3 linked regions of the Xenopus tropicalis genome follow. The protein of the gene in region 1 interacts with the protein of each later gene in a pairwise test. Links are inferred from orthologs where the notes say so. Each region holds a gene or a part of one and is shown in the gene's direction. Other genes may lie near its edges. The genes, in order: dcp1a, rita1 and pnrc2.

Evidence for each region.
Region 2: the proteins of dcp1a (region 1) and rita1 interact in binary tests that used the Homo sapiens proteins (3 or more experiments, as listed by UniProt). The two-hybrid records come from large-scale screens. The link is inferred for Xenopus tropicalis from reciprocal best matches to the Homo sapiens genes DCP1A and RITA1.
Region 3: the proteins of dcp1a (region 1) and pnrc2 interact in binary tests that used the Homo sapiens proteins (3 or more experiments, as listed by UniProt). The link is inferred for Xenopus tropicalis from reciprocal best matches to the Homo sapiens genes DCP1A and PNRC2.

What each region holds. Positions count from the first base shown.
Region 1 is NC_030680.2:150,743,427-150,747,080, forward strand, and holds part of dcp1a (mRNA-decapping enzyme 1A), read left to right. Parts: intron 1-629; coding exon 630-1,271; intron 1,272-2,927; coding exon 2,928-2,993; intron 2,994-3,316; coding exon 3,317-3,502; intron 3,503-3,654. UniProt on the Homo sapiens protein: Necessary for the degradation of mRNAs, both in normal mRNA turnover and in nonsense-mediated mRNA decay. Removes the 7-methyl guanine cap structure from mRNA molecules, yielding a 5'-phosphorylated mRNA fragment and 7m-GDP.
Region 2 is NC_030677.2:145,154,911-145,158,664, forward strand, and holds the start of rita1 (RBPJ-interacting and tubulin-associated protein 1), read left to right. Parts: upstream 1-1,135; 5' UTR 1,136-1,406; intron 1,407-2,036; coding exon of another isoform or gene 2,037-2,063; exon of another isoform or gene 2,064-2,068; intron 2,069-3,388; 5' UTR 3,389-3,428; coding exon 3,429-3,706; intron 3,707-3,754. Other genes in the region: ATP-dependent RNA helicase DDX54, read right to left, coding at 768-887. UniProt on the Homo sapiens protein: Tubulin-binding protein that acts as a negative regulator of Notch signaling pathway.
Region 3 is NC_030678.2:80,603,762-80,607,515, forward strand, and holds the start of pnrc2 (proline-rich nuclear receptor coactivator 2), read left to right. Parts: upstream 1-1,163; 5' UTR 1,164-1,311; intron 1,312-2,204; 5' UTR 2,205-2,396; intron 2,397-2,973; 5' UTR 2,974-2,991; coding exon 2,992-3,402; 3' UTR 3,403-3,754. UniProt on the Homo sapiens protein: Involved in nonsense-mediated mRNA decay (NMD) by acting as a bridge between the mRNA decapping complex and the NMD machinery. May act by targeting the NMD machinery to the P-body and recruiting the decapping machinery to aberrant mRNAs.

The sequences.
Region 1 (3,654 bases):
ATCTCTGTATTGCTGAGGTGTAACACTGCCCCCTAGTGGCGCTCAGCACTAATGCCTCTGATCTCCTGTGCTTTCAGGCCGTGCCTCGTATATGGGCACAAAGGGCATTTAGCTTGGGGCAGAACTGTGCCGATAACCCCAATATCTGCCACTCCCAGGTTACACCTCTCACAATGTTCTGTGCATCTCTGTATTGCTGAGGTGTAACACTGCCCCCTAGTGGCGCTCAGCACTAATGCCTCTGATCTCCTGTGCTTTCAGGCCGTGCCTCGTATATGGGCACAAAGGGCATTTAGCTTGGGGCAGAACTGTGCCGATAACCCCAATATCTGCCACTCCCAGGTTACACCTCTCACAATGTTCTGTGCATCTCTGTATTGCTGAGGTGTAACACTGCCCCCTAGTGGCGCTCAGCACTAATGCCTCTGATCTCCTGTGCTTTCAGGCCGTGCCTCGTATATGGGCACAAAGGGCATTTAGCTTGGGGCAGAACTGTGCCGATAACCCCAATATCTGCCACTCCCAGGTTACACCTCTCACAATGTTCTGTGCATCTCTGTATTGCTGAGGTGTAACACTGCCCCCTAGTGGCGCTCAGCACTAATGCCTCTGATCTCCTGTGCTTTCAGGCCGTACACAAACATCTCACAGTTGAAGAACTATTTGGAACCTCGGTAACGAAAGAGCAGCCGGCGGCCAATTGTTACCCCAGTTTGGAGCCAAGCGACAGGCGCCCCCAATTGTATGCCCCCGCCTCCTGCGAGCAGCCATCGCCAGTGGTGGTGAAGGCAGCTTGTGCTTCTTTCAATGCCGTTGCCAGTGACTTTAGCCACCCTGCGTGTGTGGCGCCCACAGTATTTGCCCAAGGCCCGGGCCAACGGCCGCCATCACAGGCAGTGGCAAACCTAATCAGTTTAAGCCCCAGTCTGGGTATAGCAACTGCCCCAGAAGGGCTGATAAGTGCCATTCAATCTGCCCCTGGGCAGGTCTCACCCCTCCTGAGCCAACCTGTACCAGAATGGCACCTCCTGCCCCCACTGGCACCAGTCAGCTCCAGCAGTGTTGTTAACTCTTCCCATTCCGGGGCTGATCTTCTCCACAAGCTGAAGCTGATTCCGCACACAGACCAGGTCCAAACGCAGCCCTTAAGCAAAGCCTCCATTGCCCCAAAATTCTCTTCTGCCCTGGGCCAGCTGGCTACACCCGAGAGCTTTAAAGGAGGCATAATGAAGCCTGTTCCAAGCACCGGCCTAGTTATGGCGCCTCTTCAGGTAACTCCAGGAATTACAGCTGTCTTTCTGCAACTTGTCCTTTAATTGTCTTTCCTGGGTGCCAATGAAATGTTTGGGGTCATTAGCACCAAATTAAGGGGCTGCACCAATATTGATCCTTTGTGAGAAAATACATTCTGCCTAAACTATTGATTAACAATGTAATTTGTTTTACTTTCATATTACTGAAATGTAACTTCACTAGCGATAGTGAGCTCTATATAAACAGCCCCCTTCCTTCACAGGGGTCAGTAAGAAATAACAAAAACCATAGATTTTATGTGATAAAAACCATGAGTAGAGAGAAGCACGAGCCCAGTTCACTGCACTCATATTGATCAAGGGGGAGTGCTGCCCCTTTATATGCACCCCAGTCAAAAAAAAAATATACATACGCAGTTTGGTCATTTCCCTATGGGACCAAACTGTAAATTATATCCTTATAAATGGTGTCTAGTGTATAAAACTTGAATATTATAATATAGTACCCCCTGTTGTAAAATATGAGAATATTAAAAGTCACCTCGGAGTTACATGACCTGTATAAAAGCACGAGGCCGAAGGCTTTGTTCCTTTATATGGTCATGTAACTCCTGTGACTTATAATATCCTTATATTGTACAATAGGGGGTACTTTATTCACTATATATTATAAGGAACTCCTCGGGGACTTATAATATCCCTATATGTTACAATAGGGGGTACTTTATTCACTATATATTATAAGGAACTCCTCGGGGGCTTATAATATCCCTATATGTTACAATAGGGGGCACTTTATTCACTATATATTATAAGGAACTCCTCGGGGGCTTATAATATCCCTATATGTTACAATAGGGGGCACTTTATTCACTATATATTATAAGGAACTCCTCGGGGACTTATAATATCCCTATATGTTACAATAGGGGGTACTTTATTCACTATATATTATAAGGAACTCCTCGGGGGCTTATAATATCCCTATATGTTACAATAGGGGGTACTTTATTCACTATATATTATAAGGAACCCCTCGGGGACTTATAATATCCCTATATGTTACAATAGGGGGCACTTTATTCACTATATATTATAAGGAACCCCTCGGGGGCTTATAATATCCCTATATGTTACAATAGGGGGCACTTTATTCACTATATATTATAAGGAACTCCTCGGGGGCTTATAATATCCCTATATGTTACAATAGGGGGCACTTTATTCACTATATATTATAAGGAACTCCTCGGGGGCTTATAATATCCCTATATGTTACAATAGGGGGCACTTTATTCACTATATATTATAAGGAACTCCTCGGGGGCTTATAATATCCCTATATGTTACAATAGGGGGCACTTTATTCACTATATATTATAAGGAACCCCTCGGGGGCTTATAATATCCCTATATGTTACAATAGGGGGCACTTTATTCACTATATATTATAAGGAACCCCTCGGGGACTTATAATATCCCTATATGTTACAATAGGGGGCACTTTATTCACTATATATTCCCATTTGCTCTCTTTTAAATGACTTTCAGTTAGACATTATGTCTAGGGGCCGCTATAGGACAGTTCAGTTAATACATGGGATTTTGCTGATCATGTGACTGGGGCAGATATACAGTTGATTCCTTCTTTCGCTCTCTCTCTCCCCCCCACAGAATGTACTTGACAAGAAAGAATGTGAGGTTCTTCCCCAGCCCAAGTGCTTACCCAAGGTGGTATCGGTAAGTGCCGTGCCCATTGGCTTCCATTTTATCTCAAGTTTGGTGTCTGTCAGGGCAAATTGCTGCCAACATGGAGGCAGCCTGGCACCGTTTCCATGCCTACTACTTTCAGAGCTGATTAAAAGGGGTTTCAGGCCATAGTGCGTTTCATTAATACTTTCATGCACGCCCTGTAACATTTCCCATGAAGCACTGCTGATCAACACACCCAGAAGCTTTTCCACATAGATTCCTGTTGGTGGGCCAGTCTGAGCCCTATAGGTTTTATACTTAGATGCAAGGGTAACTACACCTGTGGCTCATATCCTTCTTCTTATCCAAAGGCAACTCCATATGTAGCTCAAATGAGCACAGTTGGTCCCTCAGTCCTCATGTCGCCCAGTGTCTTCCATCAGTCGGTCCAAGAAGAAAAGGCCAGAATGTCGCCCATTGACTCAGCGCTGTCTGATCCTTCAAAGTTTGTCCTGAGTAGATCCCAGCTCCAAGAAACACTAATCCATCTCATAAAGGTAAGCTCTCTGCCAAAGCTGCAGTTATACAGGGAACTGAGTATCACTCATGTATTATAAGGGATACTGTACCCCCTACTGTAAATGATAAGGATATTAGCAGTCACTGAGGGGTTCTGTGCCCCCCATATAAAGGCACAAGGCTGCAGGCT
Region 2 (3,754 bases), on another chromosome or scaffold:
CTTTTCGCGTAAGTTTTAACGCTTCGAAAAATGCGCAACTTTCGTAATGGCTACGAAAAACTCGCGTTTTTACGCGCAAATCGTATTGGTAACGAAAAATTCGTAAAGAATCCGAAAAAATCGCAAAATACTGATCATTACGAAAAAAACGCAATCGGACTCATTTCGACCCGTTCGTGGGTAAGTAAATCAGCCCCTAAGCCTGCCTGATTTACCTTACGACTTTCTGTTGCCGATCCTTCGCTTGCCTGACTCTGATTTTCAATACTGCAGTAATTATTCTCTAATTTATTAGGAAATGGGGTTAACACCTAATCATGCATGGGAAAAAAAAAATACCGTCAAATACCGTGACACCGATATAATTTTGAAAAATACCGTGGTATAAATTTTTGGTCATACCGCCCAGCTCTACTTTAACGTTTCAGTTTTCCAATTAATATATACTGGAAGTTCCTCAGCACCCTGTGCTTAGGGGGTTAGGAAAGAAATGAGCTTGAAATATATATCATGATAATAAAAGTGATACTGGTGTTGACTTTTGTCAAGTAATACTGCTCGGTAAAACATAATATCAGTGACTTATATAGCACCAGAAAACTACAAAGCACTTTCCCCTCACAGAATCTATTAACCCTACAGTGCCCTGAAAGATTTCTGCGGCACTCAATTGCAAAATTACTCTGAGTACAGATGGTAACTTAGTTGCTTGAATCCTGAGAAACTAATTTCGAACATGCGAGCTACAATTGCCAGTTCGCACTTACTACTCCATCCTCCTTTTGGGGTGCAGCTTTGACACGAAATCCCACTGTGTCGCTTTCGTCGCTCTCTTGGTTTTGACAGCATTTCCGAGATCGCTGTCCCTTACGTTTTTTCTGAGCCATTTCCGCAATTCTAAGACTATATCTATATCGTCTTTAAAATAGCTCAGTTTAACCCCAGACCATCAGCGATCCTCTGAATGTACGAGCACGTCTATCCCCCACGTGTCTCACAGACACCCGGAAGGGATTGAGTACAACTTCCTGGAATGTACCACTTGGTGTCAGTGAACAGGGGACGGTGTGTTGCTATCGCACTTCTGTTGCCAGCTCTCTGCTGCCACATTTCTGCACTGCAAAACGGATGAGGAGCTGAAATACAGAAATGCGATACACTGTGTAACCTCTGTCCCTGCTCTCGGGTTTGGGTGAGTCCGAGTTGTAATGTGTATCATTACCATGGGAGCTGGGCAGAGCGTGTTACACACAGTTGTCTCTAGCTGCCTGTATAGCTGCCTGTATAGCTGCCTGTATAGCTGCATGTATACACTCATCTCGTCGGCTGAAAGAGGCTGCCTGCAGCAAGTCTATCGACTGCATGTGCCTAACATGATGCCAATGGTATAAACGTTTTGCCATCAGGTAATACTTCAAGTCATAAAGTTACATTTTTAAAAGTTATGGTTATATTCATTGATACATACTCATTTTCTACTCAGTTCTCAAAATTCCCCGCCCAGTTCACTAGTGTAGCCTTTTATTTTCTGGAGATTAGCCAAGTGTTTTGTATTCAGAAACTGCAACTTGTGTGACAGAACTCTAGCCAAATGTTGTTTGGCATTGGTTGAAAATCCTATAAGGCAAGGACTGCATTAAAACATTTGATTGGACAAGGTTGCTTAAAGAATATTTGCATGTATTGATTTGTATTGCTGTTTTTTGAGTTATAGTTTCCTGTACTGACATTTAGTCAGGCTTATGGGGTAGTGTGCTACAGCTTTGGTCAAATGGTTAAGCTAAATTGCACAATTAGACCTAACATCCAACTGGAATGGCAGCGGAGGCAAGTACTTCATAGGGCTTACGTAAGTCCGCAAGTGCAGCTGCGGTCCCTGCACTTTCCCTCCCAGTCAGTTGCATGGAAAACCACTTTCATTAAAGGAGAATGCAAGTCAAAATTTAAAAAGCATACTGCCCAAAGTCCTCCTATTGTTTAGTAAAAACGCCACACTTTTGGCTCACCTAATCAAATATTTACTCAGTCACACTTACTTCACATTTTCTAGAACAGGCAGCCATCTCTAAAAAGGTATTCTCCCTTCCTTTCCCTCCTTGCTTCATACTGCACATGTGTTTCATTCCCTCCCCCCTCCCCTCTGCCAGATCCGCTTCTGATTGGCTGGTGGGTATGTGTAGCTCAGAACAGGAGACAGGATTAGGTTGTACACATGCTCAGAGAATAGGAAGGAGAGAGATTTCAGAGATGTCACTGTAGGCTTCACACTGCTGTAGGCTGCCAGCACCATATCTCAGAGAAGCAAGCAGGGATCTGGGAATTTAGATATGCAGTAAGTACTTAAAAAAAAATGCCTTTAGACTTACTTTTAATTTATATTAACCTTTCATTGTCCTTTAAAGGTACTTGTGTCAAAATGCACTCCTTGCACTTTAGTAACGCTTGGCAACACTTGGCCCTTCCTGCCTTCCGTTTAGAACTGAGCGCTGCTGTACCTATTGACACAGGGGTAGCCTACCAAGCGGTAGCTTTAGATCTCCCTCAGTGCCTAGTGCTGGATTTCTGATTAGGGTGCCCATAGGCTGCCCCCATTCTCCAGCCTCCCCCCCCCCCACAGGATTGCGTGCATGCCCGTCCTTTTAGCTTACATACGGAGCACTGGGGACGGTAATAGCTGCAGTTTTCTGCATGTCCCGTCCTTAGTGCTCCACATGTGAGCAACATCTACATGTGGCTGGCCGGAATGCCGCCCCTAAATTTATGCCACCCTAGGTCTGGGTCTTTGTGGCCTTGCCCAAATCTGGCCCTGTCAGTGCCCTACATCAATCACCACAGTTTAGTTTCAGTAGGAGTATAGGGCAAACGCATCACAACACCAGGTAGACTTTGAAAAATTCTGTGCAGTGCTCCCAATTTGCTGCAAAGCACATGGCAAGTTCTGTCAGTTTTGCCAAATCAGATACAATTAAAAGGGTTGTTCACCTTTGTACAACATTCACAAATGTAACAGATCACATTAATAGAACAATCTTTTCCATATAGAAAGATAACAAAAAATTTGCAACTGAAGATATTTTCTAAAGAGAGCATTGTTGGTGGTTTAATAAGATTTGGACATTGGAGGTGAACAATCCTTTTAAGGTAGCCACAGTGCAATTGCGTCAAGAGCATCACTCCTTTGCTATCACAACGATGCCTAAATTCTGGGATAAAAATGCATGTTCTGCTGTCTATGTCTTTTATCTGCTTATACATGATACAGGATATATATGATATATAGACAAGTGAACATAAATAGATGATCATTATTAGTATATGAAAACAATGCATTTTTTGTATAGTATGTTTAAATAAATGTTGTATTTATTAAGTTATTCTATATTTTTAGGAGACATCTAAACAAGTATCAGTTTAGGCCTGCTTCTGAAATGTCTCTGGATCTCTCTATAACTGGGCATCGCACTGCACTTCCACAGCGCAAAAGCAGAAGCGCTTACCGGTTCAAAGCTGCCAACTCCTATGTTGACGAGACTCTGTTTGGTACCTCTGGGGTAAGAGTGGATCAAACTGTAAAGTGGAACACTGCACCACCTTGTCAGACACCCCTTCTGTGGAGCCCAGGAGAAATACAAAACAACAAAAACACCTTAAGCTGTAGGCCTAAAAGCACTCCACCAGGGACTCCCAGGAAAAAGATTCAGTACAGGTACTTTTGGACCGTTGCTAATTATTGATCCTGAAAAGGAGTGATGTT
Region 3 (3,754 bases), on another chromosome or scaffold:
GTCTGTATCTAAAATAGTTTACCTTAACATTTATATCAGTGAAAAGAAACTAGACATAGCATAAAATGAAAATTATCAAGGGTGTACAATTTACTATATAAGGGGATTATAAATTTATTGACTGTGCCAGAGACGATCATAAGGAGCATACTGTTCTATCATGATGCTTTAAGTTTGGGGGCAAACAGGCCTGTTATTGGCACTACAGAGAGACATCCTACATCCACCCCTCTGGCTTCTGCCAGAATCTACACATTGCCAATCTGGGCCTGGGGGAAAACAGCTAAGCACAGACTTATTAGACAAGAGACAGTACTCTTCTAGTAACCTTATGACTTCAGGAACAATGTAGCAGAAGCCGGCTCCTCAACCAGAACTGGAAGAGAATTTACCTGATTTATTTTATTATGTACATATTTTAGGGCAATTAATCATAACTACGTCATTGTCGCTCACAGGATAGCCATGAAAGTAGTACATACAAAGCTAGAACAGAACTGGGCTGTAACATATCCTGGGAAAGGTCGACTTTCGTGGTATCTTACGTGGTCTCAAAGCCTTCAGCTCTTTCTGGGGGTCTATTACTGCCACTACACTGCCAAGCCGAGACTGATACGCAGAGCATCAAAGAACTTCCCCCGCACTCAGCTACATACAGTTCCTGCCCTAAGGAAGCACACTATATTCCAGGCTCTCGCCCGGACTTAACCAAGACACAGACCTATTGCAGTGACCCCCCTCCATGAAATATTCATATACATCTCAGCGTTATTTTCGACGAGACATTCGAAAGCAACTGCTCTGTATAACAGCATTCTCACTTCATTTTATTAACACTGGAATTTGTAAATTGAAATCACTAGAGAGACTAAAACTGGTAGTTATTTTCTTTACACCGGATGTCGCAACAAACCTGCAACTTTGTTCGTTGGTGACGCCATTGTTTTGCTTCCCATCCCCCTCACAATAACAAGACTAGAGATGGAAACACGGGGGAGGGGAAAGGATCCGAGCAGAAGTCTGACTCCGCACTGCAACAGGCTCGCGTTGAAATTCTCGTCTTTACATTGGCTGTCCCGCGGACGCCCAACCTCTCATTGGCTGTGGCGCTACGGGGGCGGCGCTAGTGTTCCATTTTGTGAAGGATCTAGGAAGGTCGGGTTGTGAGTTGCGATTTGGAGGCGAAGGGTGGAAGTAGGAGGAAAGATTCGCAAGTCTGAGAGTTTTGCGGTTTATCTGAATTTTGCTTCGTTTCTTCACTCTCCGCTACGTTCAGTGGGGAGAGGAGACATTTCTCGAAAAGAAGTCTCGGTGAGTATTTTGGTGTGTTTTCCTTCTCTGGTGGGAGCTCCTCCCCTCCTGGCGCCATGTTCTTTCTTTCTCGGACCCGTTCCTTTGTTACCTTCCTGCCAAGTTTTACAAAACCTGTAAACTTCTAAAAGTAGTTTATCACGGCAAACCCCTTTCCGCGATATATATCTACCCCTAATCGCGATTATTGGTGCTGTGGGCTGATACTTTGTCTATGGTTAGATGTTTTAAAACTGGGGCTCGTAAGCAATGGCTGCCGTTGCGCAACGCTATGTCGTACTTACGGACTGATTATGGTAGTCGTTTGGTGGAGGTGTAATATCTTATTTTTACTTCATGAACTACACCAGCTCTATTGTCAGGGGGTATTGGGAGTTAAAGCTGGGGGGGGGGTGCAGCTGGGTAGTGACTTCACCCCCTTTGTCCCTCTTTGGTTTCGCCCATCAAGCCTCTTATCCCGGTCCATATGTTTGTTTTTATCATTATCATTGTGGGTTTACAGGGCGCTGTGAGCTCTTCTGGGGCTTTCAGTTTATCATAACAATGTGGGCTTCATTTTTATAATGTTCTCTCTCGCTGTGTAAAAACAAAAAATAGTTCTTGCATCTAAAATAGGTCAGGGCATATGGTGGGCATTGCCATTTCTGTAATCTTACATTTACCACCCAGGCCCTTACTGATCAAGCTAATTTACCCCCCCCCCAGAAACTGTCCACAAATACAATGGATTTGTAAAGCATAGAACACCTTTATCAAGGATACATTTATTGATAATGATTTCTTGATGTGGGTGTAATGGGATTCTTGGTAAATAAGTATATACTTTTGGCTGCCTGTTATTTATGGGTTACTGTGAATAACTTTATTTTATTATTTTTTTTTTTTTTTTACAGTTTAGAGGACTTCTTCCATTGTAATCCCCGGTTGCCTTGTGCCCAGGGGGATTCGATGTTTGTTTTGGATCTTGATAATCACATGCTTAAGAAAACTAGCAGATTAAAGAAGGCAACACAAAGAGGGGAGCGAGCCTTGTTAGTTCGGAGACCTGGAAAGGCAGAGAAGGGGTGTGAGGAATCAGTGGGAAGGTGAGCAATCTTTCTAGCAAACAAAATGGAATCAAGTCTGTTATTTGTATAGGTATCAGTAATGTAGCATTCTAGCCTAAATAAACATGTTCAAAACCGACTGAGCAGACATAATTGACTTCAAAAGGGGATGCACCTTTCATTTGTTAAATATAGGTAGTATGTTCAATGTAAAAAGTCTGCACGTTCTCTACGTATTTATGTGGTTTCTTTGAAGAGGGGATCCTATTTACAGGGATGTTTTGTTTTAAGTATAAGCTGGCATTGCTTATCTAAATAAACAAGACATTTAATGTACTTAAGTTTTGGCATATTTAGATATATTTAAAAGGTAGTGGTTGCAAACTTTTCCATGTTGGTACCTAGCAATCCCCTCCCTTTCACGAGAAAGGAAACTAAAATCTGAAATCTAATTGCTCTAAAATTAATCAGTACTGTAGATTGTGTTTGGGTGCCCTGAAGCTGCCAAATTAGTATTTTCTGTTTTGTAGAGAAGAGCTTTTTAATGGTGTTTCAGTTGGCATTTAATGGCATGACATTTAAGGTTTTACTATGTAATATACCATTTTTGTTTTAGGTGACATAAAAGTTGGAGATGGGTGGAGGCGAGAGATTTAACATTCCTGGTCAGCATAGAAATAACCTTGGCAAACAGATTAACCGTCAGAAGTTGTTAGAGCGCAACAATCAAAAGATGAACACGTCTCTCAGTAAGGACAGGGTCCGTGGCTGTGGGACATCTCTTGCATGGCAGGCCATGCAGAATGGAGTTAACAACAATAACACTCGTTCCTCGAATCAAAACTGGAGTGCTGGGTTTCCAGCCTCCAAGAACTTCTTCACCGATCAAGACAACCAGAATTACGCTGGAGCCAAATTTAGTGAACCACCATCACCGAGTGTACTTCCCAAGCCACCAAGCCACTGGGTGCTCCTTTCCTGCAGTCCAGCTGAGAAAGAGCTGATGTCCTTTCAGCTGAAAACCTTGCTAAAGGTCCAGGCCTAATTTGGACCTACCAAAACCATCAATGATAAATAAATGCCTATGGGACACTTACAGGGTTCTAGGTTGAAGAATGCCAAACAGTGTGTTAAACATGAGATCTTACTTGACTATGCCAGCATGGAATGGATCGTTTTTTTTTCCTAAAATCCCTCAGGAGTTAAACTGAATGGTGGGTGAAGCTTCCGTGAAGAGGACTCCCGCATACGAAGCACTTTCTCCACAGCATAGCTGGTGCTTGATGCACTGAATTTACAACTTGCACCCAAATTAATGTTATACAACACTTTGCACTTGAAGTAAGCAGGTGAACAGCTTCAGGACTTGGCTTTGGATTGTTTTCTTCTGCTAACTT